4 linked regions of the Tribolium castaneum genome follow. The protein of the gene in region 1 interacts with the protein of each later gene in a pairwise test. Links are inferred from orthologs where the notes say so. Each region holds a gene or a part of one and is shown in the gene's direction. Other genes may lie near its edges.

Region 1 (8,427 bases):
TTAAAAAATGGAATTGGATTGCGCAGTTTTATGAAATTTAATCGCCGGAACTATTTTGTTTGTAAAATAGTAGCTTTGTCACCAAATTTTTCGAAATAATTTGGTGACAGACCAGGAACGCAATGTATTGGTGACCGATCACACCCCTCTGTAAATCACTGGCATTGTTTCATTATTAAAGCACATCCCATCATACCAGATATGTGTCTACCTCCCACACATGCTCACTGTAGGTTAAATTAGTCTTAGATTGTTAAAAGTGACTTGACTGAAATTCAGTCACTTTTAAACCGGAAGTTTGATTGCACTGGCAATGAGGCTTCCGCGTCAAAATTGTAGTTTCTTGGAGTAATAATTTTTTCTGTTTCCGGGTCCTTCTAGTTATTCCGGATTAAACCTCTACCAGTACTAGTAAGTACCCCAAGTATCTGGTTCGGGTGTGGTGTGCTTTAGTTCTAGTCCGTATTGCTAGTTTTTTGAGTAGTTAGGCATGAACCTATAATTCCAGATTTTCGTTCGAGCACAATTCGATTATGATCCACTTGAGGACGATTTGATTCCTTGCGCCCAAGCTGGTATCGCCTTCAAAACCGGAGATATCCTTCAAGTAAAAAAATTTTTTTTGAAAAAGCCATTTGTAAAATTACAAATTTTTAGATTATTAGTAAAGATGATCATCACTGGTGGCAAGCCCGCAAGGACAACTCTGCGGGCTCTGCGGGCTTGATCCCTTCACCCGAATTACAAGAATGGAGGGCCGCTTGCGCCGCCATGGAAAAAACGAAACAAGAACAAGGTGAGTGAAAACCCAACCGACACCACACCGCTTCTTTTCGTTGAGTTTTTTTCCAGCAGTTCATAAAACTTCATGGCTGGTGCCCCCTTTACTGTTGCATGGTTGTGTTTAATTCGGTTTTCTAACGAATGTCGGTGCAGTTCGTATTCGATTTGTGCAAATTTACTTCACTCGGAAAACAATTTGAACGAGTGAAGATTGCGATTGCTTTGTAGAGAGATTTCAATGGAATACTTAAATGTTCAGTAATGAAGTAACTTTGTTGTACACGGATCGAGGCGATATTGAACGTACCGACTTAGAATAAGCATACATTATTAAACATGAAGCATGGAACCCTTAGAAGTGCAGTTGTGAACAGACTTGGGACAAATTATCTGAATTTTTGGAAAAAGCGGAGCCGGAATTTAGCAAGTTATTAATTTTCTAGTACGAGTTGCAAAAGTTCGAATGTTGTTTTTCCCTTTATAGGTCTGTGTAAAATCATGGGTTAAAATTAAATGAAAAATATTGATCTTTGATTTCGTGTATCAAACCGACTAATTAAATAGTTATTCAATTAGTCAATAAAATAAAAAAACCTTTTAACTTGATAAAAGTAATATTTTGTAAAAACAAAAAAATTCGTTAAGTTTTACTTTTTACAATGAAAAGCGCTTTCACTAACCTTGGTTTTAGAGAACATATTTTGAGATAGGTATAATCGTAAAGAAAAAATTCTGGTCTTAAGAATTCATCAGTTTATCATTTTTTAACAGTAACTAGCCCATTAAATAAATTTCGATTCTTGAAAAAGGAAAAAAAATTACTGAAAGACGGTTGAAACAATTAAATTTTCAGAATATGACTTCTGTAAATTTTTTGGCACTGCGACATATTTTGTGAAATAAAGAAAAAAATCTTGGTTTAGCATTTTTTACAGTTTAAAGCTCAGAAAAGTTTCAGTTTAAAAAAAAATTGTTAAGGCCTTAATGATTAATTAATTATTTCCGCTAATATGATTCTCAATTTATAGAAAAATATAAATTAAAAAAGTTAAAATTTTATTGTTGAAATATTTTGGGGGAAAAAATATTTTTTTAGTATTTTTCTGTTCACCACTTTTTATTTAGTAGAAAACTCGTTAAATAAAACTTCAGATTTTCAGAAAATTAATAATTGCTCTTACAGGAAGACATTTGAAAAAATTAAGTTTTATTTGTAAAGATATAAAAAAAATTCTTTAAAAGTCTTCAAGAATAAGTATTTTTCTGTGTTAACAATTTTTTACAGTAGGACACCTATTAAATAAGTTTTAATTCTGCGAAATAAAAAAGTTTTCTGCATGAAAAATTAGGTTTTACTTGTAGAGGTATTAAAATAAATAAATAGATTTTAGTTAGGGAGATATTTTGGAAAAAATCTTTAAAGTTCTAATGATCATTTTTCGGGTTTTACCATTTTCTCACTTTTGAAAGCTCATTGAATAAGTTTCGATTTAAAAAATCCGTACCGGGTGAGACCTTTGAAAAAATTAAGTTTTATTTGTGGAAATTTTTAATAGAAGAAAAAAATTTTTAGGGCTGTAAGGAATTTTTTCATTCCCTCTTGTTTTACTAAGGAAAACTTTAATTATCACAAACAAACAATCTCTGCACTTGAAAAAAGATCCACTTGTGGAAATATATTTATAAAAGAAAAAAGTCTTTGAGATTCCAAAAAATATTTTGTGGCGTCATTTTTAGTCCATTGGAAAACTCAATAAATTAAATATGTTTGTGCAGGAAGACTGATAGTAGTTGAGAAAAGAAAAAAAAATTTTAAGGCCATAGGGAGGAGTATTTTGGTTCACCATTTTGCTGTTTCTTTAAAGCTCTTTAAATAAGCTTCGATTTTTGTAAAAATAAAAATAAATTATTTTACGCCAAGACAATTATGAAACATTTAAATTCCACGTGCTGAAATATTTTAAATATTTAGGGCAGAAAAAAATTTCTTTAGGCTTCAAAGTTGAGTATCTATTTACGATTTTTTTTACAATTGAAAATCTATTAGATCAGCTTTATTTTTTTGAAAAAATAATTTCTCTATGGAAATACACTCAAAAAAAATTTGTTTTATGTGTTGAGAGATTTTGAAAAAAAATTTCTTATGGCTTTAAGAAGTGTTTCTTAGTTTACCATTTTATTAAAATGAGTGGTCTATTGACTAAGTTTTAAAGTCTTGTAAAAATTAAAAAATCTGCTGTGGAAGGAATTTTTTGAAAAAACTAAGTTTCAGTTTGAAAAAAATAGTTAAGGCTTTAATGATTAATTAAGTTCTGTTTGTGAAGATATTAAAAAAAAATTCTTTAAGGCTATAGTATTTTGGTTTACCATCTTGGTATTTTTTTGAAGCTCCTTAAATAAGCTTCGATTTTTGTAAAAATATAAATAAATTATTTTACGCGAAGACTGTTATGAAACATTTAAGTTCCACGTGTAGAAAAATTTTAAGAGCAAAAAAAATTTTTTTAGCCTTCAAAGTTGAGTATTTATTTACGATTTTTTTTACAATTGGAAGTCTATTAGATCTGCTTTATTTTTTTGATAAAATAATTTCTCTATGAAAATACACTCAAAAAAATAAGTTTCACGTGTAGAGATATTTTGAAGAAAAATTCAAAAAGTCACTTGTGGAAATATTTTTAAAAAAGAAAAAAATCTTTAAGACTTCAAAGAATATTATGTGGTGTCATTTTTAGTCTAGTGGAAAACTCAATAAATTAAATATGTGGTTGAGAAAAGAAAAAAAATTTTCAAGGCCATAGGGAGGAATATTTTGGTTCACCATTTTTTGTTATACTAAAATGCCCATTTTCCTCAATTTTGAGTTTGCAAAATACTGCTTTTAACTTTCGGCCGTTTTTTATCTTGCGAAACTCAGGTCTGTTCACTTCCGCCGATAACTTCCTTCACACTAAACAGACAAAAACAATAAAACCAATGATAAACCCGTATTTTGGTGTGACCTGTATTTTTGTTGAATGCTAGACGTGGAAAAAGGATGTACTTCTCATGCTAACGGTTGTGATGGTACTACAGGTATATGATGCCCACATTAAGTAGCCTAAAGCATGATACTTAAGCATTTCATAATAAGTGTTTTCCCTAGTAGACTGATTGTTTGTGATCTGCTGGGAAAATCAATAAATAACTTTCAAAGTATAAATAGAAGAAATGCATGGTATAGAGAGACCCCTAGGGTATAGTTTTGGCTGTGGTGTGCTCGTACTAACTTGTGGTTTTTCCAGTCAATTGCTCAATATTCGGTCGCAAGAAGAAACAGTACAAGGATAAATATTTGGCAAAGCACAATGCTGTTTTTGACCAATTAGATTTAGTAACTTATGAGGAAGTTGTGAAATTGCCAAGTAAGTGCTTTTTGAAATGTGAGACTTTGGCTAATCTCTGTTTGAAGTGACTGATCCAGCTTTCCAGCGAAAGACCTTAGTCCTCCTGGGGGCTCACGGGGTCGGTAGACGGCATATTAAAAATACTCTAATAGCTAAACATCCCGATCAGTATGCTTATCCTATACCACGTAAGCCTCCCATCTGCTCATTTTTCATTTAGCTCAAGTGGGATTATTTCAGATACAACGAGGCAACCTAGAGCCGACGAGGAAAACGGCCGCAATTATTTCTTCGTGTCGCACGACGAAATGATGGCCGATATAGCCGCTAATGAGTATTTAGAATATGGTAGTTGGGTTGTTTACATCAAAGTTCGTTTTGTTGTCATTTTGCACGTTGTAGGCACGCACGAAGATGCCATGTACGGAACTAAGTTAGATACAATCCGTAAAATACATCAAGAAGGTAAAATGGCCATTCTTGATGTTGAACCTCAAGCACTCAAAGTGTTGCGTACTGCTGAGTTCTCACCATATGTTGTGTTCATTGCTGCTCCGGCTTTGCAAAACATTGCAGATGTAAGCGTCACTGTGGTGTTTTTAGGACACTCTTAACTAGATTAGAAACAAGGATTTTGAAGGAACAATACCAGAATAAATTACTAACAATGCGACTAACGTTCGCTTTGTGCATTTAAACGAATCTAGAACCCCAACGAGTCCGATTTTAAATTGTTTCGTTTTTTAAGGACTCCAGAAATTCAAGTTTTTTAACTCTATCTAAGAGAATTTTATGCACTTTTCCGATTTTTGACGAGATTTTTCATCGGGCAATAACTCCGAAGCTTCGGAAAGTTTTTCTGATTTTCTGTCTTTTTCAAATTTTCAGCAAAAGTGAAAATAGGTAAAATAAAAAATATATAATTAAAAATCTATTGAGCAATTTTGCAATTTGCTCGACGCCAGTCGACTCGCCGGACCATTTTACATAGTTTTACATCAAAATTGTTTCTTTTTTCCGGCTAGTTTTGCAATAATTGCGAAAATAAAAAAATTAAAAATTAATAAAAAAAATACAAAAATGAGTATCAAACTTGATTGTAACCCATTTTTTTTGTTTGATAGTTTTTGGTGTGCTCTTTACGGTGGGATGTGGCGTTTTCTCCTAGTTCTTTTAGTTTTGCCGTAATCGGCGCTTGAAAAATGGTAATTTTTGTTTCTGTTATTGGCGTTTTTTTTGGAAGCAGTAAGATTTTGAGCAAAAACCATGAAAGCATCAGAATGCGTTTAAAATTATCTTAAAATCGCTCCGGGCCGAAGACTGATAGTTTTCGAGTAAAGTGCCCATATTAGCAAAAATAAGTGATAAAAAAATTATAATTAAAAAACTGTTACAAATTTTGCAATTTTCTCACCGCCAATCGATTCTCCGGATCATTTTACATGGGTTTACTGCAAAACTGTTTACATTTTTCGAGCGGTTTTGTCGTAATTAAAAAAAAATGGAAATTTTTTGAATTTTAGTTTTTTAATAGAAAGATTATAACTTGAGAAATAAAAGTATTTGAGTAAACCCGTTTCTTTTAGCGAATTTTTGGAAGCTGTAAGACTTTGAGTAAAAACCATGAAAGCATCAAAATGCGCCTAAAATTATCTTAAAATCGCTCCGGACAGAAGACTGATAGTTTTCGAGTAAAGTGCCCGTATTACCAAAAATAATTGATAAAAAAATCATAATTAAAAAACTGTTACGAATTTTGCAATTTTCTCAACGCCAGTCGATTCTCCGGATCATTTTACATAGGTTTACTGCAAAACTGTTTTCTTTTTTCCAGTGGTTTTGCCGTAATTAAAAAAAAAATTGGAAATTTTTTGAATTTTAGTTTTTTAATAGATAGATTATAACTTGAGAAATAAAAGTATTAGAGTAAACCAGTTTCTTTTAGCGAATTTTTGGAAGCTGTAAGACTTTGAGTAAAAACCATGAAAGCATCAGAATGCGCCTAAAATTATCTCAAAATCGCTCCAGACAGAAGACTGATAGTTTTCGAGTAAAGTGCCCGTATTAGCAAAAATAAGTGATAAAAACATCATAAACAAAAAACTGTTACGAATTTTGCAATTTTCTCAACGCCAGTCGATTCTCCGGATCATTTTACATAGGTTTACTGCAAAACTGTTTTCTTTTTTCCAGTGGTTTTGCCGTAATTAAAAAAAAAATTGGAAATTTTTTGAATTTTAGTTTTTTAATAGATAGATTATAACTTGAGAAATAAAAGTATTAGAGTAAACCAGTTTCTTTTAGCGAATTTTTGGAAGCTGTAAGACTTTGAGTAAAAACCATGAAAGCATCAGAATGCGCCTAAAATTATCTTAAAATCGCTCCGGACAGAAGACTGATAGTTTTCGAGTAAAGTGCCCGTATTAGCAAAAATAAGTGATAAAAAATCATAATTAAAAAACTGTTACGAATTTTGCAATTTTCTCAACGCCAGTCGATTGTCCGGATCATTTTACATAGGTTTACTGCAAAACTGTTTTCTTTTTTCCAGCGATTTTGCCGTAATTGAAAAAAAAATTGGAAATTTTTTGAATTTTAGTTTTTTAATAGAAAGATTATAACTTGAGAAATAAAAGTATTAGAGTAAACCAGTTTCTTTTAGCGAATTTTTGGAAGCTGTAAGACTTTGAGTAAAAACCATGAAAGCATCAGAATGCGCCTAAAATTATCTTAAAATCGCTCCGGACAGAAGACTGATAGTTTTCGAGTAAAGTGCCCGTATTAGCAAAAATAAGTGATAAAAAAATCATAATTAAAAAACTGTTACGAATTTTGCAATTTTCTCAACGCCAGTCGATTCTCCGGATCATTTTACATGGGCTTACTGCAAAACTGTTTACTTTTTTCGAGCGGTTTTGTCGTAATTGAAAAAAAAAATGGAAATTTTTTAAATTTTAGTTTTTTAATAGAAAGATTATAACTTGAGAAATAAAAGTATTAGAGTAAACCAGTTTCTTTTAGCGAATTTTTGGAAGCTGTAAGACTTTGAGTAAAAACCATGAAAGCATCAGAATGCGCCTAAAATTATCTCAAAATCGCTCCAGACAGAAGACTGATAGTTTTCGAGTAAAGTGCCCGTATTAGCAAAGATAAGTGATAAAAAAATCATAATTAAAAAACTGTTACGAATTTTGCAATTTTCTCAACGCCAGTCGATTCTCCGGATCATTTTACATGGGTTTACTGCAAAACTGTTTTATTTTTTCGAACGGTTTTGCCGTAATTGAAAAATAAAAATTTTGAAATTTTTTGAATTTTAGTTTTTTAATAGAAAGATTATAACTTGAGAACTAAAAGTATTAGAGTAAAACTGTTTTTTTCAACGAATTTTACGGTTCATTTCATGTGTTATACGAGTTTTTTTATTTCAGTTATTGGAATTTTTGGTTAAAATTTAATAATGGTTTGTTACGGTTTTCACCAATTATAAAAGTGCGTATTTAATCAATAACACAAAACATTATAACTGCAACGACGAGCGACATTCCTCAACAAAATTCCGAAAATTGTTATCAAACATATTGGTGATTTTATTACAGTATGCGTTCGTGGCACATATTATTGTGGAAGTAGTTGGTTTAATGAAAATCTAACTTCAAAATGGAAAATAGTGTTCATTTTACTTACCTTCTAAGCTCAAAAGAGTCAGTGTTTCTCAAAGTTTATTTAACCACTTTTCTACGCCTTTGGAATTCTCTTGAGTTCTTAAAGTGCAAGAAAACATCAATGGGTTTCATTTTATAAGGTTTGATTTTTCAATAACTCCAAAACTATCATACGTAACTCCATTAATTATATTCTCACTAAAAAGGTTTTTTAATTATTTATCTTTAAAAAACTATTAGTCCCGACTAATAGTTTTCGAGAAAATTGCTAACAAACTCTAAACCAGGTTAAACTTAGGTATTAGCTGTTTCAAAACTATAAAACGCCAACGGTCCATTTTACAGAATAATTTTATTTTTCTTTATATTTTTTTTTAATTGTAATTAAACACTTGATCTCTCATTGGAAGTATAAATTACATTAGCTATTATTTTTTTGAAGCGGCTAAAGAATTTAGAACAGCTAATTTTGAGAGAAAATGCGACGTTGGCATTTTTCTAGTTTTAAAACAGCTAATAAGTGTTGATAACTTGAAAGCTATTATCAATTTTGTAAATTTTTTGAGCACCAATATAAGAAATAAACAATGTTT
Region 2 (7,920 bases), on another chromosome or scaffold:
ATAACCCAGTTCCCGACCTCACCTTGAACCGCCTCGGCGGCGGTTAACCCAAAAGGTGCGGTTACGTAACCGGGCGTTCAGTGGCGGCGCTCGGGGACGGGCTCTGAACACGTGGTAGTGGTGACGTCATCGCAATTTATGCGATGCGAATTGGAAAAACGACAAGATGGAGGCCTTAATGAAGGCGATTTCGGGGTTTGTTGCCGTTGCTAAGGAAATCGTGGTTAGAAAGGGACAGTTTTATGGCGTCGCAGTGGGTGGGAGCAAGATAGGTGTAGAGGGGTTTTAGAGATGGGATTTAGTGATAACGTGACTATAAATTATTGGACTTTTTTGAGCATTAAATTTGAAACAATTATCACAATTGCATGTACAATGACGACAATGAATCATAGTTTAAGTAATCGTGTTACGTATTTCGTGATTATTGTTTCATGGTTACGTTTTCATTGACACTTGAAGTATTGTACAAGCGTTAAAAACAGTACAAAACCGTAGGTAATGATTGGAGAAAGTAGGCAAATTGTTTTCTCCTAACTACTGAAACAGGGAAAACTATCAAGATACAATTTTCACATATGTATTTTGTCCAATTGGTACCCCTGATCTTCTTAAAACAATGGCTAAACAATTTTTTGTTAGCTAAACTATGAGCAATACCAAAAAATATCTGACGATAGTTCTCGTGTTAGTGTTACATTTTTGAAGGAATAGTTTCAAGCTTAAAGCTTAATTTCAAAGTCCACTAGCAATGTCAAGTGCTTTAGTATACAGGAGATTCAAAAGTATTGGACAATCTCTACGAGATAACTAAATTAAAAGTTCCTACGGCAAGAAATTGTTTGGACCCTTTTTTCACGAGATATACAGGCTGATTCAAAAGTACCGTACAAGCTGTCAAACACACATCAAACTGAATTATATGACAAAATTTTTTTTAAGCTTTTTTGCGAGATATGGCGGAAACAACAGCTCTTGCATCATTAAAGAAACACAATTAATGTCTAATGAAAAACATTTAAAAAACTTGCAAATTTGACATCATAGGAAACAAAAGAGCAACAATCAATACCGTTGCCAAGGAAAACATATTAGAAATTAGGTATGTCCAACACTTTGAATCACACTGTATTAATAGTGACATCTTAAGGCAAAATTCATTGGCGGTAGAAATTTAAATTTTGTTGGCAGCTGAGTTTATAATTTGTAGTAAATGAATTAGTTGTATGAATAAAAATATAGCAAAAGCTTTTATTAGTTTTATCTTTTTCTGTCTGATAAAATATATATTACTTTATCTTTTACTATTTCAAGTAAAAGTATTTATTTCCTTAGCTTTATTTAAACGCTCTATTGTTTAAACAATTTGATAACTACTTTTTTTTTTTCAAAGATCAGATTAACGATCGGATATAACTTGTACCATGCGATCATTTGAATTTATATTTATAATTATAGTAGGCGTTTATTTATGATTGAAAAACTTGTCCAAATTGAGGGGAAAATTCATACTAAAATCAATACTAATTGTGATAATCAGTGTTTTTACGTAAGTTAAAAAAAGTATCAAAGCCTATTCTAATTATAAATTTAAATGATCACATTTTACCTGTGTTTATAAAGATTTTAAAGATCTGAATACACTATTATATAAATTAGACTTGTCACTTTTTAAAGCCATATTGGTTTCGACATTAAAAGTGCAGATTTTTAGTCCATTTCCGCTGATTTTAATTCTTTTTCGTCTGCAATGCATTAGTAGCAAAGAACTTTGTTGTTTTTGTTCTTGTTCTCTTCATTTTTTCGGCTTATAACCTTGAATTTGAAGGATTCCAACATTGTATTCTGTTATCTAGTCCAATTTATTTATGAATCAGCGCTGTCGAATGATAACATACCCAATATTTTAATACTACAAAAACAATACGTTTTTCGTTGAAATACCTCCACTTTTGACAATTTCTTACTTATAATCGAACTATGGGTGTTTTTGGCTGTTTATTTTTGCCAAAAACGACGATTTTCACACTTATTTCGTTAAAATTCATTGGTATTTCATTTTTATCACTTTCTTTACAAATCAAATAAATCTTCTGGAAATAATTCGGAACATTTTATTGTCAGGGAACGGCATTTCTCCCACTTGTTACATAAAAATGAGTCAAAAATCGCAATAACCACACGAGTCTTCATTTCCAGTGGTAACTTTATAATTGGGGATTTCAGTATTGTGCTGTGAAATAGTTTATCCCCTAGAAGATGACTTAACTGTGTTACCGTCCAGATATAACTATTCGATCTCTTCGGGCTCTATTTCCTTGTTCTCAAGGAAATTTAGCAAATATTTCCAGTTCATAGACGCCTTTCTAACTTCTAAAGAATCTGAACTGTAAAAAAGGCGTCCCCAAAAAATAACAGTCTATAACCACTCTACAATCTCGCTTAGTTTTAGAGACTATAACGTAAATTGTTGTTGAGTTACAATTTCTAGATTAGCTAACTAACCAATCTGACGTAAAACAGTCCTTTTTGAACGCATATTGCATTTTATCTCTTGGACTCATTGTTTGAGAGGTCGTTGATTAGTTTGGGTCAAATAGTAGTGTTAGTCACAGCAATCTCCGACCTTGTTTTTTCCCACTTTGAATAATGCATTAAGCGCGTAATTTTCCATGTAGGGATCATCGATTGCCTGGTCCGTATCCCCAAAGAACAGGGATTCTTCAGTTTCTGGCGTGGAAATCTCGCCAACGTGATCCGTTATTTCCCAACCCAGGCATTGAACTTCGCCTTCAAGGATGTCTACAAACAGATGTTCTTGGGCGGTGTTGACAAAAACACCCAATTTTGGAGGTATTTCGCCGGTAATTTGGCGTCAGGTGGTGCCGCTGGTGCGACATCACTTTGCTTCGTCTACCCTCTAGATTACGCTCGTACTCGGTAGGTTTTTAAATTGTTAAGTTCCTCAGCTATATGTAATCATTTTTGATAGTTTGGGCGCCGATGTCGGCAAAGGCAAGGGCGAAAGGCAGTACACCGGCCTTCTGGACTGCATTAAGAAGACAGTGAAATCGGACGGACCGATCGGTTTGTACCGAGGTTTCGTTGTCTCAGTGCAAGGTATCATCATCTACCGTGCCTCCTACTTCGGCTTCTTCGATACTGCCAAGGGAATGTTGCCCGATCCCAAGAACACACCGTTCCTCATCTCATTCCTTATTGCACAGGTAATTATATTGGACTCCAACCGGTGAACTGATTGATGGGCAAAGGACACACACCTAACCTTTGATTTGTTGTTATTTCCAGTTGCTGAAGCTGAAAAAGTGAAAGCAATTGATCCGAAGACCTATATCCTGAAATAGTAAGGTATCCCTCGTTACGAAATAGTGTCGTAACATTCCTCTCTTATCTGCTTCCAATTGTGGACGTGCGACGAGATAACTCTTATCACAATTGACCTTTGTGTAATAGAGTTCAGAACTATATTGTAACAGTTTTTTTGCACCATAAACAATTGCGATAAGATTAGATCGTCTGTTCCTATAAGAATTGAATGAATTTGTCCTTGAAGTTATTACACATGATGTGTTACACAAAACTGAGCCTACTTTGATGACTCTAGTTTACCACTACCCATTAACTGATGTCATTGATTGACTATCAGTTGTTAGTGATTTGTTTGATGTGTGTATTGATGACGTTTTTCTTGCCAGTGCGTAACGACAGTTTCTGGAATTACGTCATATCCATTCGACACCGTCAGAAGGCGTATGATGATGCAGTCTGGACGCGCTAAAGCTGATATTATGTACAAGAATACGTTGGATTGCTGGATCAAGATCGGCAAAACCGAAGGCCCAACTGCCTTCTTCAAAGGAGCGTTCTCTAACGTTCTCCGTGGCACTGGCGGAGCTTTGGTTCTTGTACTATACGACGAGCTTAAAGCTTTGCTCTAAACAGAAATAGTAGAATTATTACGGTTTAAATTATTAATTGTCTCATAATTTATTTGTTTCATTCCGTGGTTGATGCATTTTTTAGGCCGACATTCCTTTTTTTAACACTATCAGGCGCAGGAATTTACATTCCAGCAATTTTTTTTCGTTACACGGTTTTAATAATGGCATTGTAAGCTGAAGTATTGATAGCCCTGTATTTTAAATCCTGTATATTTTAACAGCCGTTTACCAATAAACAGTTGTGATAAGTTACTTTATTATTGTTTTTTTTCGTTATTGTTGGTAGTGTGAGACGTAATAAAGTTGTTAATATAGTTGAGGTCACGTGGTTTTATTCAGTTGTCGAATGCATTTCGTTGACCGCAAAACAATGTAAAAAAGTTGTCTTGTAAATGAGCTTGATTTGTGTAAATTCGGCAATAAAGACACTCGTAATCACTCAAGTTTTTCTCACGCAGACCCATTTTTTTAGGCAAATTTAAAATGAATAGCGTCCGTTAGCATTTTACAAAATTTAAAATTATCTAGGGACTTTTATTGTTGCTCTAACAAAGCGAGTAACAGTTAATACCAACCAAAATATTTCAAAGGGGTGGCTTTTATAAATTGGCTAAATCGGCCTTATTCATTTGCCTGCTAAATCCTTCTTTCTGGATTTAGTTTAAGAATCCCTTCAATAAAAAGTTTTATCAATTTCAAGTGCCAGAAGGCACAAATGTAGGGACATCTGACGTTTTTGGTTTAGTACCAACGTAGCTGTCATTTACCTGTCAAACAAAAGGATTGGCCCCAATTTTGCAAAAATGGCCCAAATCGGCGAACCATTGACCCTCCACCGAGGTAATCACATTTTTACTTAATTTTACGCAATTTTCCAACGTTTGTCATAGACATTAAGCGTTCCGTTGAGCTTTTGGAGAAGCTCCAGAAAAGTGGCGAAGTCCCGGCTACTAAACTCGCGGCCCTTCAGAAAGTCCTCCAGAGCGACTTTCTGAATGCAGTGCGCGAGGTCTACGAGCACGTTTACGAAACTGTTGATATTCAAGGGTCTCAAGACGTGCGAGCCTCTGCCACTGCTAAGGCCACAGTTGCAGCTTTCGCAGCCAGTGAGGGACATGCACACCCCAGAGTCGTGGAACTGCCAAAGACTGAGGAGGGTTTAGGGTTTAATGTGATGGGGGGAAAGGAGCAGAATTCCCCCATTTATATTTCTAGGATTATTCCGGGGGGTGTGGCGGATCGGCACGGGGGGCTGAAGCGAGGGGATCAGTTATTGAGTGTCAATGGAGTGGTGAGTGAGGTTTGATAAAGGGGTAAATATTAATAATTGTGGGGTAGTCTGTTGAAGGAGAAAACCATGAAAAGGCAGTGGAGTTGTTAAAACAGGCCCATGGCTCTGTCAAATTAGTGGTGAGGTACACCCCCAAAGTCTTGGAGGAGATGGAGTTAAGGTTCGACAAACAGAGGGCGAGAAGACGGCAGCAGTACAATTAAAAATAACTAGACAGAGTAGCCTATGACAAAGAAATTAAGTTGGCCACACTGAATTATTAGTAGTTTGAATTTGATAGTCAAAGTTAGAAACCCAAATTTCAAAGTCATAGGCTACTTTGACCAGACATTTAACCGAAATATGGTATTACATATTATTATTATTAGATTGTGTTGCATTTAAGGAATGATTGTATAGTTAGCACGATGTGCACTGGTCTCTAGAAGTACTGAATCTCAAGTACCCGTGTATTGACAAGTAATCCAAGTATTACATGTTTCCATTTTTTTTGTTATTTATGTTGTATTAAATAAATAATTACAAAAAACAAAATGGTTTCTTTGTTTTTTAATAAAATTTATTAAGTAACTCCCAACGTTGTATTTTACCGAATTATTTTTTAAATAAGGTTGATAAAAAATTTAAAAAAATTATTAAGGATTAACTTTCTCATTGAAACTATAAATTACATTAGACATCAATTTTTTGAAGTGCATAAACAATGCGCCGGTGGCGTTTTTATAGTTTTGAAACAGCTAATACGTGAGATAAACGTTGAGTATCAACAATTAATTGAAATAAAAGGTTTTGAGCCTTTTAAGTCGAACCTTACAAAGCCCACAACTACGGATCAGGGATTTTCGTTGAAAGTGAATGTGGTATTGAGACTTCTGTTACTTACACTTAAAATATTAAACACAACACTGGTTAGTTGTGGTGATTCGAATAAAAAAAATTGTATTCACAATTCGCGGCTTTCCTTTAGGGATTTTTGTGTGCGACTAGATTGGCAACGCTGGAAAAACACTGAGTAGCCGCCAAAAGTCATGGGTGGCTTCGTTTTTGTCTATTTTTTTAATTTGTCTGATTTCGTGTTTTCCTAGACTTGTGACTGTGTTAAACTAAAAGTTCAAAGTTCTAAGACCAATTATGTGAACAATTAGTGCCCAAAAGTGCAAAGACACTCAATAACGACCCGATTCCACCGCTTCCTGTTGCCTATTCCTGCTTTGCGTCCTTTTCTCCAATACAAGGTCAGTTTTTCCTTTTGTAAAATCCTTGAAATCAAGCTTTTTTAAACGAATTCACCACCAATGTGAATTTGACAATTAAATTTGAGCCCTTGAATGTGTAATAATGCTTGTAACCCTTTTCCTCGAAACATGTCATAAATGACTAAATGAGGCTCTTTATTAATCCTTTGGTCCCTATTTTGCAGAACCAGTAACAACTTGTTGATTTTTGTGGTAAAAAAGTTTTCACCCTTAACTTGCATATGCAACCATATAAACAAGCGTGCATAAATGTCACCAAGTTTAAAAAATAAAAATAAGGCCCAAACAATTTAAATTAATATAATTTTAATATTTCGCCTATTAACGATGGACACAGTTGCGTTTTATGAGAAAAAATGCATCTCAACAAAGGTTTAAACTTAAAATCGTGAGATAACCAAAGTTGCACCCCACGAAATTTTTGCATGGTCCCAAGGCTCAAAAGGGGGGCTTCAAAATAAAAAGAAGAAAAAAGACAGCCCCGGGCAACGGCTTCGGTTACAGAGGCATTTTTAGTTTTCCAAAAAAAAACTCCTAGGCTAGAACAAAACGATTTGTTCAAGCGAAATTTGATTTTTACGAGTTTTTGGATAAATTATCAGGCAGTTTAATTTTTTATTCTCACCAGCAGCAATTTTAAACGCTTTTATCTCGAAAACCATTTACTGGGGAGAATTTTAACTTATCAGCAAAATTATTTTTTGAAATTCGTTCCAAGAACATTTTATGCACTTTCAGTTTCACCGAGATTTTAGTCGATTTTTACTTTGAGCAGAACCTATTTATTTTTGAAAAATCAAGTAAAATAAGTGTAATATCACGTCGTCTATTTAATTTTTTCAAGTTTTGGTTAAAGTTTTAAGTAGAATTTCTAACTCACGTAAGTATTTTCTCCTGTGGTTCAGTATCAAGTATCCATCACGTATTTTATATTTTAATCGAACACACTTTATTCTACGACTGCTTGAGTTCGACTAAACACCCTTTACGTTTGATTTGAAAACACCAACTGAAATGTATTTTCTTGGAAATCGAGAATAGTCCGAAAAAATCGGCGAATTAAAACATCTCATGACACGTGCACGGGCGGCGTATAAAGGGACAGATTCCCGGTATTCCAGAGAGTACCAGGAATCGAATAATTATTTAAACTGGGGAATGAAACTCGGGTTGGTTAATACTTAACATAATTTATTATATTAAAATATATTTAATTTATACAACTCTGAAATAGAATATTTACAACAACCATGTAAAACGCTTAAGGTACAAGACCTACGGTAAGATTTGATTTTAACCTGCCTAATACGAACATTGCATTTCATGTCCCATTAGCCTCACAACAAAATACCTTACATTAATACAAACTTATCGACGAAACTTTCCTCCGATAAGCGACACAGTCTTAAAT
Region 3 (7,431 bases), on another chromosome or scaffold:
CAGCCAACGCGAATAAATCACTTTTCTCTAGAACCGTATCACCCACAACGTCCCTCCCTTCAACGAACTTTTTCGCAATCAAAAGACACGAATGTTTTTCAGGTAAATTGGCCACGAACAAACACCCGTTCCCTAACAATTTCCACAAACACGAGAGGTCGCCACGTTGGCTCAGAGCCCGAATCAAGTGATCGGTGGCCACCTGAGCATGGTCCCGACTCGTCCCCAGTCTCTGATCCTTGTAACAATGCCTCGCTTGAAGCAGACAAGTCTCAGCCATGCCTTTCAAAGCCGGGACGTAAAACTTGTTAAATTTTAAAATTTCCTCAAACTCGAGCCGCGCTTCGGCAAATTCGCCCAAAATCTGCTTAATGTGCCCTTTTTGTAACATCGGATACCACGCTTCCGACACCAAACTCGACGTTTTCTCGTAACATTTCAAAGCGGAAGTGTAGGCACCTTTGGCCAAGTAGGCGTCAGCCAGGGATTCCCAGCAGTGACTAAAATTGAATTTTTCGAGTTTGTTAACACAAGTGTGGAAAAATACGCATTGTTTTCGTCAATTCGTATGACGAATCGCAAGTTCGTAACGGCTTTATCGTAATCTAATTGTTCCAAGTGGTGTAGCCCTAGCTGCATCCAAGCCCAGGAATTTTTAGCGTTAATTATTCCACTTGTGAGGGCTTGTAACAAGTTCAAGTTGGCGTCCTTAAAAAAATGAAATCTATGTAAGTAAGAATGTTTAATAGGGCGTTGCTACGGTAACGATTACTCCAATTGTTCAAATTTATGTTGTTACCTAGCAGCTAAGTGTCAAAGATAACGCTTTAGCTCTAGCGTCGTCTCATTTGTTACATACCCAATTTTTTAACTTGCGGTAGATTTTGCTTAGTTCGATCCCGGCCTCCGCACATCGCTTATTAATTTTGAAAGCTTTCTCGTAACATCGTCTAGCTTTATCAAAGTCGTTGTTTCTCTTGTAGAAATGGCCCAAAAACAGGAAACACTTGTAGTTATTTGGGTCCAATTTGGTGGCCTGAAAATTACGATTATGTCCCGTTTATTAAACGTTGGGTGAAACCTTCAAAAATGGGATCAGACTTTTGTCAAAGTGGCCACAATCCCAATAAAGCGAACCGATTTCGAGCCACCATTCACAAGACTCGCAATTTTCCCTTTCTAGAATTTCCAGAGCTTCGGAAAATTTTTCCTGCTTGTGGAGCAACTGGGCTTTGAGCAAAATGTGTGTTTTATCAGTAGAATTGAATTCTTGGAGTAACGATTTAGCTTCGGTGAATTTTTTTAGATTGATGTTTGCACGAATCAAGTGTTGATTGCACGCAGATTTCACCTCAGTTTCAATCTAGAAATTGCAATTGAAAAAAAGTAGTACTAATAATAGACAAACATTTTCAAATAATTGTAACGCTTTGCGAAGGTCGGCCTCCTCCTCCGACCGGGACAAAACCTCAACCATCAAAACATTAACACTTTTCTTCAAAATCTTCTTATTTTGTAACAGTTTCTCGAGTTTGTTTGCCGCATTTATGGCTTCGTCGTACAACAGGAGTTGCATACAACATTTTAGCAAAAGTACCCACGCGTGTACCAACCCGGGTAAAACCCCCACAACTTGCTCTAAAACATCTTTCGCTTCGATAATTTTTTTCTGTTCAACTAGTAAAATGCTTTGGGTGAATAGACCCGTAGCTGAAGGTGCCTCCAATTTAGAGAGACTTTCGCTGTAATTGGCCATGTTTTCGACCGATTCGATCAAAGTGCCGGACTCGACGTAAACCTCATTGAAAATCTTACAAATCCAACGCAAAGAAATCCAGTCTGATTCAAACATTTCGTGCATTTTTTTCGCCTGTTGTAATAATTCACCCGCTTTGTCTTGCTTATACAACAGGTTTAAATAATCGCTGAAATATTTCGTACATACGGTTTTTTGGTTGTTTAAGGCGAGTTTTAACGTTTCTTCGTACTAAAAAATTGGTTTAATTTGCAAAATTACGATTTAAAATCATACAATTGGGACCAAATCCGGTGCGAGATTTTCAATTTTTGATAAAATATTAATCAAACAAACTGCACATTCCGCACTGTCACACTTGCCCTCTTTCAGGACTGAAAAAATCGCTGTTACGATTTTAGCCAAGTCGCCGAATTCGCACAAATTTGCCAGTTTTTGGACACATTCGAGGATTTTTTTCTCGCCTCTGAAAAGGCTAATTATCTCATGCCAAATAATTTAAAATCAATTACGTTTCAATGCCAATTAGCGAAATGTAAGCATTAATTAAATCAAGTTTAGTTTCTTTAGTGTCGATTTTTTCGTAATAATTTATAAGACCGTTCCAAGCCAAGGGATTTGAAGGGTTTGCTTCGATTGCCTCCTGGAAAGCTTTCAAAGCTTTGGCGTTTTGACCGGTTTCCTGTAATGAGACTCCCAGGAAGACAAGGGCCATGTAATTGTTCTTTTCTTCTTTCAGTATTTGCTGCAAAAATACAATCGCACACACTAACAAACATAATTAAAGATAACGCTTATGCAACTAATTGCTACAAAGGTGCAGTCCAAAGAAAAAAAAGAAAAAAACAATGAATCAAACAATGATTGGATTCATCAGAAAATAGTGAACACATAAAAGTATTTTAAATTGCCAATGCTTTTATTAATTTTATTAAGTTAATTTCTACAAAAAAAAAACGGATAACTCCGACTATTTAGCAACAAAATTTCGAAATGATCGCAAATGATTATTTCAATTGGTAACAGATTTCAAAGTTTTTTTAGAAATTTGTAACCGGATAATTTTTAATTTTTAGTGTAAATTATGACAGTTTTACCAACCCCTACACCTTATAAATAATAAAAATTTCACCTACCTTGCATAGTTTCAAGGCAGTTTCATAATTCTTGTTTTTGATGGCATCTCGTGCCTCCTTCAACACTAATTTTGAGTCTTTCATGATTCACTCAAAACAATAACTTGTTTGGAAAAGCCTAACCTACAAATGCACTTTTTGCCACTTATTAGCTAGACTCGAAAATAACCAAAAGCGTACAAAACGAATCATTTGCACTTAGTATTTAATTAAAAAAAATATTTGTTTAATTAAATTACGAAAATAGCGAGCTTGTTTGAAACTTTTTCGAGGTTAGAGCATAGAATAAGAGAGAGGGTTAGAGTGTCAAGCAAAAACTGAAACTCCCTAAAAAGTAACCAACAATTTCGGTATTTTTGCGGAAATGGCTGCTCCTAGAGGAGAGACAGTCCCCAAGCCCATCCAACAAGACTGGGTAAACCGCGAATACATCGAAGTGATAACCGTCAGCATAAAAAAGATCACCGATTTCCTCAATTCTTTCGGTAAGTTTCCCCTTACTGTTGACACCTCGCAAAAATTATTTTTAGACTTATCTTGTCGATCAAAACTCGCCGTTTTAAACGAAAAGTTGACAACTCTCGAGCGAAAGATCGACTATTTGGAAGCTTGTGTAAGTCTCATTTACATAACACTGCGCTTTATTTACAAATAAACTGAAGGTCACCAAAGGGGAAACCTTGACATAAGATGCTCCTCACTCGCCTCAGCCACCTCCAAAGGCCGCTCATCCCCCACACGCGCACCCTCTTCCACTGGCTGAACATCGTCTTCAACCGCGTGGACGACGAACGACGGAAACAAGTGGGGCCTGACAGGTCTTGTGCCGAGTGGCTGTTGCGGAACGGGGCCCACGTCAAGTGGGAGCACTGCAACGAGTTTCTCACAGACTATAACAAACTGCCGAGCGACAGGATTAGGTTACACATCGTGGAAGTGAACGCGTCTGAAGCCAGCATAATGCACTACGGGTTTGACCATTTCGTGGGGTGCGAACACATCCGGAAAATCATTTTCCACAAGTGCTACTATCTGGAGAATGAGGCGTTGAAAGGGCTGTCGGTTTTAAAAAACTCATTACTTTATTTACAAATCACCGAGTGTTTGAATATAACAGAGCCGGGGCTGAGTCACCTCAACGCGTTGAATAACTTAAAAGAGCTGATTCTGGCCGATCTGCCGTACGTCAAAGAGAGGGAAAAAATCGTCGATAAATTACAGCACGGCCTGCCACATTGTACGATACAGTTCCATTAAATAATCAACCCTCGAGCTTTGCTTTCATTATCGTTGGCGAGGAGACAAGTCCGATCTGTTCCCCCGACTCCAACTGTTTCAATAGCCTGAACAAAGCGGCAGCTTCGCGAATGCGACTAAACTCGATACAAAACGCCTGAACTTCGATAAACAACTCCTGGACGTTGATTATTTTGTTGCGAATGAGCGACTGGAGAAACACACAAACCAGTCGAACCAGCCGATTTTGCATATAACGGTCCTTGATAGTCTCACAAGTCGATATGCAATTCGAAATGTACAAGTGGACAAACTCTGTGGGCAAATCCACGGTCGTTGTGAGCCGATTTACCACTTCCATGGAATGCAGCGACATTTCCATGTTGACAAGAACGCTGAAATATTCCGTTATTTGTTTCGATTGCATAAGCTTGAGCAAAACTTCAATCGCGATAAGTGGATTATTTTCCACCAGTTCGGGCAACTGCAAGCACTCAAATCAGCGAAAATCACCAAATTTCGATTCATACTTTGGACGGAGTCAAACCAATGTGGTACACAAGTTTTGAGTCGTTTTCCAGCTCGCCTAGCAGTTGTTGCTGCTGTTGCAAAGACAGCGCTGATTTGTACGCCTTGTTCATCAATTGTCTCGCCTCCTGGCCTGCTGTGTCAGGCACACACATCGTCACGTCATATGCTACAGTGTGTTCTTTGATGTTTGTCGGATTTAGCCACACCATCTTAAAAAACACAATCAAGGGTAGTAATAAATTATCACAGCTTCCTTGATTAATGGAAATTTCCCTTCGTCTCCATAGCATTAAACAAAGAAGCTGTATTATGTAACCTTACTTCATCATCTGTGTTGAGCAAAGGCGGTGCTAGTGTCACAAATTCCGGTTTGTACACTTTATTAATGGGGGCGTTATCACCGGTTGCTATAGTTTTCACAAGGGCTGCATAATCGTTCCGTTCTGTCGTATAATTGTTAGTTTTTTCAGGCAGTGATAAAACTACAGGAATTCCTGTTTTGCAAGTGTGTGGCAATTCAGACTGTTTTTCGGCTAGTAGTAATTGTACAACGGAAAAATCGAAATTTGTTTGCGTATTCCCAACGTCTGAATTGATTATTTGCGTGGCTGTTTTTTTCAAAATCTTGAAGAAAAAAAATCGTTTAGTAATTTCCTATCAGGGGAGGCCCTGGATAATCTTACAGCATCTTTGGGCACATCTGATAACAGTTGCGTTAAGAATTGTTTTTCTGGTGGTGTCAGTTTGGGTAGTTGGCCTGGATATTCCTGTTTGGGGGACCCGACACTACTCTGGTGTTCCGGGGGGTGCTAGGATAATTTCTATGTTACAATTACTAAATTTCTGTGATTACAAACCAAAAGGTGGTTGAAAACGTTGGCAAAAGGGGTGTTTGCCAGAGCTTCGCCCCGATATAACTCATACAGAAGCGTTATAGCAACAAGTTTTTGCTCAGGCTCTTTCAACAGATCTTGCTGAAGCATCATTACCAGACAAGTTCCGACTGAAAAAAACAGTTATTTGGGTAATCAAATAGCGGTTTTTACCTTTAAAATAGTCACAAGAGTCGAATTTTTTGTGCAACTCGTTCGAAAGGCTTTCTAAAGTGTGGGTTCTCACCTTTGTCTCACCCAAAATACTACAAAAACTGAATTAAAAGGGCGCCAAAATTGAACTGGTCTTACTCGAGTAAGATATCACATTGTTCCACCGTGAGGGCCATCGTTTTGCAATAAAACACCTATTTTTACGAAATTTATTTTATATACTCTAACCTATAAACCCAATTCGGACATTGACATTTATCACCATAAGACCGAAAAATCTAGTCGGCCAAACACACCTAAACCCGTGTTTTTCGTCAAAAATAAAAAAATAAAAAGCAGGAAAAAAGTTTTTAATGCAATATTCAATAAACTAATCAACTGAAATAATCAATAAGTTGATTAATTAGAATAATCAATGAATGGGAGTTGGAGTTTTCGACCTTATGCGGACCCGACCGCCGCATTTTCGCCCATGTGTGGTGTTTGGCGTTTGGCTTGACAGTCGACCCAAAATATTTCAATTTTGCGCAAAAACCATGTTTGGGTGCGAATTTTGTGTAAAATAATCAATCCCTCGCGATGGCTTCGTCCCAAGACGCTTGGTACCTGTCCCTCCTGGGGCTAGCCGAGCATTTCCGCACCTCGAGCCCCCCTATGATCAAGCTCTGCATCCAGTGCCTCCAGGCTGTGTTTAATTTTAAACCACCGCCGCGGGTCGAAGCTCGCACTCATTTACAACTCGGAAACATACTTTTGACCCATACCAAGAACACGGACTTGGCGAAAAACCACTTGGAACAAGCGGTAAGTGCGCCCCTTGATTTAACACTCATTTGGACGTGATTGAATTCAGTGGTTGTTGTCACAAATGATCAACACCTTTGACGATGTTAAATTCGAAGCGGCGAGCGTTTTGGCCGAATTGTACGAACAACAGCAGCAAATTTCGCTGTCTAAGCCCATTTTGAGGAAAGCGATCGAGTTGTCGCAACATAATGTTTACTGGCATTGCAGGCTAATTTTCCAGCTTGCGGTAATTAATTATACAATTTGGCAGAACTATTTTAATTGTAAAATTATAGCAAATTCACGCAACTGAGAAAGACTACCAGTTGGCCAGTAGTCTGCTGGGTGTTGGGGTGGATTATGCCCACATCTCGAATGCTTGTTACACTCGAGTTTTGTTTCTTTTAAGTAAAGGAATGGTAAGACTTTAATTAAATCACAAAATTGGGCTAAAATTGTAATTTTAGTTATTATTGATTGACAAAAAGTTGCAAGAAGTCCAGCCAGTATTAAACCAAGCCGGTCACTTGATTGAAACTTGGACAGGCGCTGCGTACCAGAAGGAATACCTCCGAGTGTATTTTTTGGTGTTGCAAGTCCGTTACTCAATTTGATTGGTTTTGTGCTCAAAGCAATTTTCAGGTGTGCCATTGTCTAATGGCCGGTCAGGTAAAAAGCGTAAAACCTTGCCTGAAGCAGTTGCAACAAAGCATACAAACAATAATGGCAACGGATGATGTTTTTACAGGGCCAAGTGTTGGCGATATGTTCTTATGGATGCCCAAAGAGCATCTCTACGTTTTGGTTTATTTGGTAACTGTGATGCACAGTATGCAGGCCGGTTATATGGAAAAGGCCCAGAAATACACCGATAAGGCGTTAATGCAAATCGAGAAATTGAAAAGTTGGTTTTTGTACACTTATCTGACACGTCCAACAA
Region 4 (9,030 bases), on another chromosome or scaffold:
ACTGGAAATGCAACACATTTTCCTGACTCAAAGGCAAACAACCCTAATTTGATCCAGAACCTGGTATTATTAGGGAACAACGGGAGACAAGGGCAGATTACAAATAAAAAATTGGCTCAAGTTTGATTTTGCCGAAAATAAAAATGCGCAAGAATTTTTCGGAATACTTCTGATTTTGAACCAATCAAAATTGGACGAATTTTTGCAATCTTTAAAGGTGTTTCTCCCCGTTTCGGTTCGGAGGAACACTCCCGGAATGAGGAAATTCCGCGAGTCGGTTGTTTATTTAATTTAAATGGATACGGAGGGGAGGTTGCGTTTTATAAGAATTTCCTGAAACACGAGCGTTGAGATTTTCCGGTATTTAAAACCGAGAAAACCTGTTTTTCGCGAAGTGAAACGTAGATGGAATGCGATTTTCCACAACCGTCTAAAATGTATTGGGACCAGTATAATTAAGCCAAAGAATGCGGTTTTATGCTCTCTTTATTCGTCACCTATGTGTGTTACAGCCATCACGTAAGTATACATTTTACTGACAACAAAACAGAAAAATTCTAATCAGAATGATTAAAAAAAATTTGCCGCTTCAGTTAAACAAACATAACATTGAAATATCAAAACAACACACTGAAAAAACTATTAAATAAGCATCCAATCAATGGCTGATATGATTTTCATAAAAAATGAGGTAACATCGTTTGTATTTTTTTTTTCAATATATTATTATTACATAGGTACCTCCTACCTGTTTCTTTTCAAATCACAGAGAAAATAACAATATTTGATCATGAATTTAAAAAATTGTAACAAAGATTTACAGAGCAATTTTACTGAACTTGGGATTCTATTGTGTGGGGTGGTTTTTAAGGCAATAATACAACCGAAAGGTGTAAAAAAATTAATTTTATTGTGACTAAATTAGTTGCAAAACACTTGTTAAAGTCAAACTCACAAAAAATTAATCATTTAATTATTACATCACAGGTCGCTGTTATCTTATATTTTTAAGCTTATTCAAAAACAATCAGCAATTAATATTTAACAAATTTTGTAATTGCATTAATTGTAGGGTAGGTAACTAGTAATACTTCGGTTTCTTCTGCTTCTTCCCCTTTCTTCAATTTCCTCTGATGTTTGAATTTTCCAAATGATAGCTCTTAAGAGAGCCCAAAGGTATTTCGAAAAAAGGTTGGGGCTAGTTTTTGGTCAGAAAAAAATATGCAAAATTTTTTTTTCTGTGTTATGTTAGGTTAGTTTTGTGACAGTTTCCAGCGCTTCTCCAATCTACAGGTAGGTTCTTGTACGCATGTGCAAAGTCATTTAGCTTACCTGACAGGTAAGATACGAGTAGCCCACCTGTAAATATAAAACATTTTAATTTCGTTGTGATTAGTGTGAAATGTGCTAATCAATTATTTTTAGTAATGAGTGATAGTGTTGCGACTTGTTGATTCGTATTTACGGTGAGTATGTGGCGGGTAAAGGGCTGATTTAAAAGTCCGTGAGGTAAAAATTTAATAATACTGTTATTGTTACTGTATTCATGCTATTGTGATATGGTCGCCACGATGGCTTTTGCGCCAAACTATTCACACACATATGTGTATTTCACAAGCTTCGTTAATAAATCGAATTTGCCTCATTTAACCCATTATTACTCTCTGCGTCATCACAAGTTGATGAAATCAAGTTTCGGGTTATTACAACTGTTGCGAATTAAAATATTCCCGCGCACTCCACGCCCTTCGTGTCCAAATTTAGTTCGCAACAGCTAGCCCATTAATATTCACAATAAATACATGCAGTTTTGTCCGTAAAAGTACGTCCTGAGGAATTGTTGACATTCCTTGCATTCCAGTATGGCTGAAGGTGTGGCATAAGAGAGGAAATTAATCTCAGTCGAGAATTATTATTAGGGCCCGAATTCCTTCAAAATGACAAATATTTATAAAAACCGCACGATACAATGAGATTAAATCCCGCAGTAGATAAATGTTATCATCAATCAAGCCGTGACAATAATCTCCGCGTTTCCAGATATTGAGTGGCTTAAGTTAAGTTAATATGGCGTACCGCTCGAACGGGTATTCGGGGGATGAAATGGACAGGTACCGGGATGAAGGGGGCGACAAGCCCACCTATCTCATGGAGCACCTGGCCACCTTCACAGTCACCAAAGAAACGGGGATCATGTACCCCGCCGACGGCATGCGGAGGCTGCTCCAGTTGGAAAAAACCAACGGCATTTGGTCGCAAAAAATGCAACTGTGCCTCGACCGCTCCTGGGTCTTAATCATGGATTACGAAACTGGGGTAAATAATCATCTCACGTAAACTCCAACTCTACACAAAAACGTTTAGAGTGTCATGGAGCGCTTCCCGGCCAACTCCATCCAAGAACCGACTGCTTTCACCAGCCATGATCCCATGGAAATGTACAACAATATTCTAGTTTTTAACGTTGCCAATTCTAACCCGGCTCATCCACCAGAAATGCACATTTTTCAGGTGAGCATATCTATCTGGCTCATCTTATCGGGCCCCCCGGCCAACACACTCATTTATTTTCGTCATTTATCTTATCAATCTATGGATTTTTAACAATTATTACTGTTTCCAAAAAACACAAGATAATCAATCAGATGTTACGGCAGCGAAATTAATTTGCGTGGTCGCGATAATCTCTAAATCAGATGAGATTATGGGGCGAATAAAATGAACGAACAAGGAGCATTTGATCGGACATACGGGATAATTGTAATGATTGTAAATACATAACGAGTTTTTTGTATAAGACTTACTTGCGAAATTATTAAATATAGAAAATTCAGTCAGTCAGCAGTACCAATAAAACGCTGGTAGTACAAAACTCTCTACTTTTTTTTAAATTAATGTTTTTTATGAAGGAAATGAAGGCAAGTTTATTGTCTTCGTGTCCCAAACTCGCATAATAATACACAATTTTGATAAGGTATTTCGTCGCACTCCAGCTCGTGGTGCTCTAAAAAATGATGTATTTATTTGTTTTTACGTGGATGTCTAGTGCCAGAGCATATCCGCGCTCGACCTGGTGGAAGACTTGAAGCAGTTGCGAATGGGCAAAACCCTGACTCGAAGCCGCAAAAGCAGCATCCCGCCGCCGTCCCACAAGCCGCCCCCGCACAACGTTATCAACCCGAGCCGCGACCCGCGAGGCGATTACCACGGTTCCGATTCGGAACTGACCGCAAATAACGACGACTCGAGTTCGACAACTAGCGAAAAATACGAACGAGACGTGACCATTTTGAACCATTGCTTCGACGATATCGAAAAGTTTATCGCCCGCTTGCAGCATGCCGCCGCCGCCGCCCGGGAGTTGGAGCGTCGGCGGAGGAGCCGCAAAAGCAAGAAACGCGACATGGGGGACGGCATGTTGACCATGCGGACGAAACCGCCCCCGGAGAAGGAGTTCATCGACATTTTCCAAAAGTTCAAGTTGTCGTTCAATCTCTTGGCCAAGCTCAAGGCGCACATTCACGATCCCAATGCTCCAGAGCTGGTGCATTTCTTGTTCACGCCTTTGGCGTTGATTGTCGAAGCCTCGCATGATACCTATCCCGATTCACAACTTCCCAGAAAAGTTGTCTCCCCGCTGCTGACCAGGGAGGCGGTCAATTTATTGATGAACTGTGTCACCAGCAAGGAGACCGAGCTGTGGCACTCGCTAGGAAACGCCTGGCTTATACCCAGGTAAGGCTATTTTTGACGAAATTGACAAACAATTGGTCAAAATTTCGCGATAAAAATAACTCGCCTATCTATTGTTGAAAGAAGCCGAAATTATTTACAAAGATATTGCCAGAATATCTATTTGAAAAAAAATTTGGACGAAAACTTATTTTAGATATGAATATTTCAATTTTTCAGTAAGAAAGAAACTAGAATGTTTAGCCGAAACCGGCAGAGAATCTTTGGTTGAGATGTCAATTCTTTTGGAACCAACATTTTTCAAGTTATCTTGTTGAAACCTAGCAAAATAACTTATTCTATTCAGCCAGTTACGGCCTAATTTGTACGTTAAAAACAGTTTAAAAAACCGTAAAATTCAAGGCTGGCAACAAGATTTGAATTTCCCGAGCTGCTGTTGCCAGTCAGCTAAATTCGCTAAGAAAATCTCACGCCCCTGAGTAAATTGGGAAAGAGAATCCGTCCGGTGTTAGATTTCCCTTTGTCTTGCAGAGATCAATGGAAGGGTCACGTGGCGCCTTACCACCCGATTTTTATGGACGGTTGGTCCCCTGATTACCCGGTTGTGGACGAATTAGAGGCAAATAATGATAAGCATTACAATGAGGGGCAGTACAGTAGCGACTGTAATGATTACGATACAAACCATCGCGACATTTTTATTTATGAGAAAAGTACAGATTCCCACCACCCAAAAATCGACTCGGATCATTTGCCCCCGAATTTGGGCGAAAGCACCAGAAGCGACATTTCGGTCGATTCGATCGAACGAAACGGCGGCGAAGAGCGCGGTTTTGGGAGAAGTCAGGAGAGTTTCTTGGAGGATTTGCAAGCCAGAGGGGCTAACATTGTCCAAGTCACGTACCCCCGAACCGCCAACAACGACAAGGAATTGACCGTGGTCCGTGGAGAGTACTTGGAGGTACCCTCACTCCTTATCCGCCCTTCTTATGTTTATTTTTTTATTGTATTGTACAGATTTTGGACGATAGTCGCAAGTGGTGGAAAGCTAGGAACAGTCGGGGCCAAATCGCGCACGTGCCCCACACTATTGTAACGCCGTTCCATTCCGGCGGAAATGATATTTTTAACAATCCGTTATACACCACGCGTAATAATTACAACAGGAATCGGGCGGTAAGTTCTAGTTTGATTTTTGTGTTTTTTGGTAATGATCTGGTTAGGACTCGCCGTCTGATAGATTTAGCGGGGGCCACAGCCCTAATACCCCCGACCATGTCAACCCCCCCGTTCCAGCGACTTCCGCTGATTGGGTTAGGAAAGAGAGGCTCGGTAAGAAAGGAGAATTTCGTTATTTCTAAGCAGTGTCGTCGCCGCATCTTCGTCTGCTTCTTGTATAATATTTGTTGTTTTTTGTACATTGTTATTGTTAGGCGTTGGCTTCTATTTTCATTCAAAGTACAGGCTATAACCTCATTTAACTTATTATTAAAATCTATGTATTGTATTACTTTAATGTTTGAAGGGTAGCAAAATCCGTCCAAAATGTAAGTAAGAGTGTATATATTTTTGTATTTTTGATACGGTCATTTGTACTAACTCAGTACCTATCTTATTGCATTTATGAAAAATAAATAAATTTTCTACTACACTGTCCGTGTTTGCTTTTGTGTTGTGTGGACGTTGTGTTGTGTGAAAAATACATGACCGGTTTGTGCGATTATCGTCTAGTTTGAATTTTATCCAAGGTCAGAACGGCAATTTTTGATTACGCCGCTATGAATAATTAACAAAGACCACAAAATTGCAAAAAGTGATAATAACCGCGTAATTATCCAAAACCGGATACTCCGAGTTAGTGTGACTCATCTACGATCTTCACTCCGATTGTTACGTAATAAATTTAAGGGTACATCAAAGTATTAATCAAGCCGGTCGTTGCGTTATGTTTGGCGAAAATGATTAAAACCTATAAAATTATTACGTGACAATCGATGGAATTGATGTTCGGGTTTAGGGGCTGAGCAGTTTCCTCCGAAAGTTTGTAATAGGCTTTAAGCCGAATGCAAACACGCCGAGTGATAATAATTACACCATGGGAAAATTCTTGGTGCAAGACGTCTGAATAATAAATAGAGACAAACCGACCGACTACGCACTATCATCGATCTGTTTGAGGAAATTTCTTAATTGACTTTGCGGAATTATCAATTTGATAATTATGTTTACTTGTCCTGCTGCAACAGCGAGTTGAATAATTTACGGGTGTCAATCCTCGCCTCGTTCCATTTCGCTCCCGCTCTTACTTTATTGATCGATAGGTGTAATAAATCCGCTGTGGTCTTCCCGTTTTTACCTTGAGATCTATTTGGCACAAATCTAATCTAATCTTAAACATGCGTCAATTCGGAAGATTTCTCCCAAGGCTATCGCATAGCTCGCAAAAATAAAACTCGTCCTTTAGACACTAGCAATGCACCGCCGCCTCCGCCGCCCCCGCCCCCCGTTGTGTCAGCCCCCGTGACACCGGCCGCCACGTTAAGACGCTCACCGTCGACGAAGTCGGCCGCCACACAAGACGTATTGCAGGATGAGCTAAATATCGTGCTATCAATGGTCAGAGACAGGAAGCACAAAACGCACATCGAAATTAGACAAACACCGGAAGTCTACATTAATCAAAAATCCAATCCGGAGGAAGTGCAAAACTGGCTCAAAATCAAAGACTTCGATTCGCAAATTTGCGCCAAATTTAAGGGACTCGCCGGACACAACTTGTTCGACTTGCACAAGAGCCAACTGGAGAAAGTTTGCGGGGCTAAAGAAGGCGCCCGCTTGTACTCGCAATTAAACATCCAAAAAAGTGTCAGTGGGGTACGTTGACACGTTAGCAACCAGGCAAAAGTGTTTCCTTGAATTTTTCAGTACCAAACCGTGAGGAGCTCGGAACTGAAGGCAATCCTCGCTAAGGCCAGGGAAAAAATTGAAGCAGTTGATTAATATTTATTACACACAATTATCACTATCAGCGCTACCTATCAAAGGTTTTAACGAGCTTAGTGGAAAAAATTCACTTGATTATGTCATGTAAATATGAATAAAATACGGTAATAAATATCCCAAAGTGTTTGGTGTTGTTTCATTGAATTCGTTAAAAAATATCGACCAAACTTCGGGTGCCTACTAGCTGCGAGTTTGATTTACGATAACGTGCACACAGTTAGTCACTTATTGCTTGGAATAATCAAATTAATTATTTGCTCGAAATTTATCATAACGATGACTCGGTGGAGATTTTTCGAAACAGAGTTATTGACATCAGCATGACGTCACAAATAAAAATAACAATGACCTTTATAATGCAAAATGTTAACGCTTTGCTTATGTTTTATTCATGGTGACTGTACGATGCGTTTGTGAATAAAAACTAGATACAATTAAACTAATCCAGAAAAAATAAGAAACTTATTGATATTACTGGTTATTTTGAAGTGCAAGATAAAAACCGCAATATTGGTAAAATGATAAGAAACGTAATTTAAATGTAAATACAAATGAGAAGACAAACACCGAGATGGTAATTTTGAGTTATTTTCAGAAGTTGGAATTGTTTTGTTTGAAATTAAATAAGCACGTCATATGGGCTTAAGTTTATGACAGTTTGTCATAAAGTGATGCCATAGCCATACGTAAAATGAATATAGCTGTTATTACGTACGTGTAAGGAATTTCTGAAAGCGAATTATTTAATAAGCGGACCATTAAGATAGCTACTTAACAATCGTAAGTATGGTACAATAAAGCGATGGTGGATATACTATTGAGTATGTGTTTGCTTAGTGTTTAGATAAAATATATACGATATAATAAATGAATGAAATGAAGACAGTTTGTGATTTGTGAGTCGAGAGGAGTGAGCGGTGTTGCGACTGGTGTTTCTTTAGTAAGTAATGCTTTAAACGAAATGGGTAAGTTCAGGTCGCCGTGGATATGCAATCGATAATATAGCTTCTGCCACCGGCACCGCCGCCACCGCTGCCGCCGCCGCCGTGCCCTGCTAGCAGTGGATTTTTGGCAAAAGACGCGGCTCACATTTGCAGTTCTCGCTCAATTTTACGGTATCACCTACTGCGGAAAGCTTTGGGTTAGGTTGGGGATGGCTCCAGAAGTGAGCTTCGGAGGATGAGTGTAGGGTGACCGCGGCGTCGCGGTGGAGTTAAGTAGAGTAGTTTTGTGAAAAGTTGTAATCAAATCGGATGGATCTGCTGAGCGCAGCTGATAGAGGGCGTCGGCATGGCATCGTAGTGCGCGTGTTGTTTACTAGGGCGCCATCGCAGTTCCCATCGTGGCTCTGTCCACCTACCACAAGCATTGAACAGAGAGAGGCAGCGCCCCTAACGGCGAGTCGAGCGAGACCATTACGTTCGGGACTGTTAATGTCCACCGGCCAGAGCGGCTCGGAGTGGTGCGAGCGAGTTGAGTTTGAGTGTGTGTAGTGCCTGACTGCCTGGGTGCGTTTCTGGCGCCCAGATCCTGCTATCTATTATCGGGCGACAAATGTTAACTTGACCGTCACTACGGAACATCTAGACGGAGTGGACTGTGACAAGGGCTCGGGGCGACCGCTACCGCAGCCGGGACATATTGGACCAAGGCAGAAAGTAAGTCCTTCCGTCCTGTGGATATAGGTCACACGGCTCGGCTGACGGAGGACGGTGCTCCTGGTGGAGGTGGTGGTGGAGGTGGTGACAGTGGCGGTGGGATGGGCCGAAGAGCGTGTGCAACTCTTCGTCTTATCGCTCGCTACTTGAACTAGACTCATGTAGGGCTAGTGACGTCACAGGCAATTGCCCACCCGACACCAGTGTAAACTAGTAAAGGTGCCGACACTGCCCGACCTTTATCCTCTCCTAGGTCTAGGCTCTTGTCTTGCCTTTTTGTTGATTATTTGCCGACACCACCGCATACCTTATATTGTGAGTTGAGCGAAATCGATCGCCAGCGCCGACTGAGTGGCGGTAGTAGTATGAAGCGGTCTGTTGCATGACGTCATTTATCCATGAGATTCCTGACTAGCATGCATTATAAATAACCTCAATACCTCCTTTAATATCGAAAAGCTGAGAGCCAGCAAAGCCGCACACCGCCGGAGCGACCCGCTCGTATCTATATCCAGGTGTCATCACCAACTCATCATCTTCGCCACCGGTCGGTTACTTTCTCCAGATCCGCTCTATAAACTCACAAATTTCAAATAGGCCGGAATCGCGCATTTTCGGCCGCAGGTATCCATAAAATCTAAGTTTAGCTGCGCAGAGCTTCCTGCTCGTTCAATTA

The links.
Region 2: the proteins of CASK (region 1) and veli interact in a two-hybrid assay, tested with the Caenorhabditis elegans proteins (5 studies listed by BioGRID). The link is inferred for Tribolium castaneum from reciprocal best matches to the Caenorhabditis elegans genes lin-2 and lin-7.
Region 3: the proteins of CASK (region 1) and ATP synthase subunit s, mitochondrial interact in a two-hybrid assay, tested with the Caenorhabditis elegans proteins (3 studies listed by BioGRID). The link is inferred for Tribolium castaneum from reciprocal best matches to the Caenorhabditis elegans genes lin-2 and C05C8.1.
Region 4: the proteins of CASK (region 1) and epidermal growth factor receptor kinase substrate 8-like protein 2 interact in a two-hybrid assay, tested with the Caenorhabditis elegans proteins (4 studies listed by BioGRID). The link is inferred for Tribolium castaneum from reciprocal best matches to the Caenorhabditis elegans genes lin-2 and eps-8.

The regions. Positions count from the first base shown.
Region 1 is NC_087400.1:7,073,060-7,081,486, reverse strand, and holds part of CASK (peripheral plasma membrane protein CASK), read left to right. Parts: intron 1-381; coding exon 382-411; intron 412-508; coding exon 509-607; intron 608-657; coding exon 658-796; intron 797-3,807; coding exon 3,808-3,858; intron 3,859-4,067; coding exon 4,068-4,187; intron 4,188-4,234; coding exon 4,235-4,357; intron 4,358-4,409; coding exon 4,410-4,517; intron 4,518-4,571; coding exon 4,572-4,747; intron 4,748-8,427. UniProt on the Caenorhabditis elegans protein: May play a structural role in the induction of the vulva. May be required for the localization of signal transduction molecules (such as let-23 receptor) to either the basal membrane domain or the cell junctions.
Region 2 is NC_087394.1:2,338,411-2,346,330, reverse strand, and holds veli (protein lin-7 homolog C), read left to right. Parts: upstream 1-4,644; 5' UTR 4,645-4,765; coding exon 4,766-4,802; intron 4,803-4,852; coding exon 4,853-5,253; intron 5,254-5,300; coding exon 5,301-5,456; 3' UTR 5,457-5,787; downstream 5,788-7,920. Other genes in the region: ADP,ATP carrier protein 1, read left to right, coding at 2,679-2,940, 2,993-3,227, 3,717-3,959.
Region 3 is NC_087396.1:20,954,798-20,962,228, reverse strand, and holds ATP synthase subunit s, mitochondrial, read left to right. Parts: upstream 1-3,582; coding exon 3,583-4,149; 3' UTR 4,150-4,153; downstream 4,154-7,431. Other genes in the region: superkiller complex protein 3, read right to left, coding at 1-500, 548-708, 860-1,036, 1,082-1,363, 1,409-1,987, 2,033-2,222, 2,269-2,501, 2,893-2,976; HSPC300 (probable protein BRICK1-B), read left to right, coding at 3,257-3,377, 3,423-3,505, 3,555-3,581; Not11 (CCR4-NOT transcription complex subunit 11), read right to left, coding at 4,154-4,612, 4,659-4,868, 4,981-5,283, 5,343-5,468, 5,517-5,662, 5,706-5,797, 5,844-5,881; MAU2 chromatid cohesion factor homolog, read left to right, coding at 6,285-6,509, 6,559-6,738, 6,788-6,910, 6,959-7,087, 7,134-7,431.
Region 4 is NC_087403.1:4,530,051-4,539,080, forward strand, and holds epidermal growth factor receptor kinase substrate 8-like protein 2, read left to right. Parts: upstream 1-1,303; 5' UTR 1,304-1,466; intron 1,467-1,497; exon of another isoform or gene 1,498-1,987; intron 1,988-2,040; 5' UTR 2,041-2,067; coding exon 2,068-2,316; intron 2,317-2,364; coding exon 2,365-2,511; intron 2,512-2,804; exon of another isoform or gene 2,805-3,046; coding exon 3,047-3,735; intron 3,736-4,224; coding exon 4,225-4,654; intron 4,655-4,710; coding exon 4,711-4,869; intron 4,870-4,916; coding exon 4,917-5,025; intron 5,026-6,157; coding exon 6,158-6,567; intron 6,568-6,618; coding exon 6,619-6,693; 3' UTR 6,694-6,822; downstream 6,823-9,030.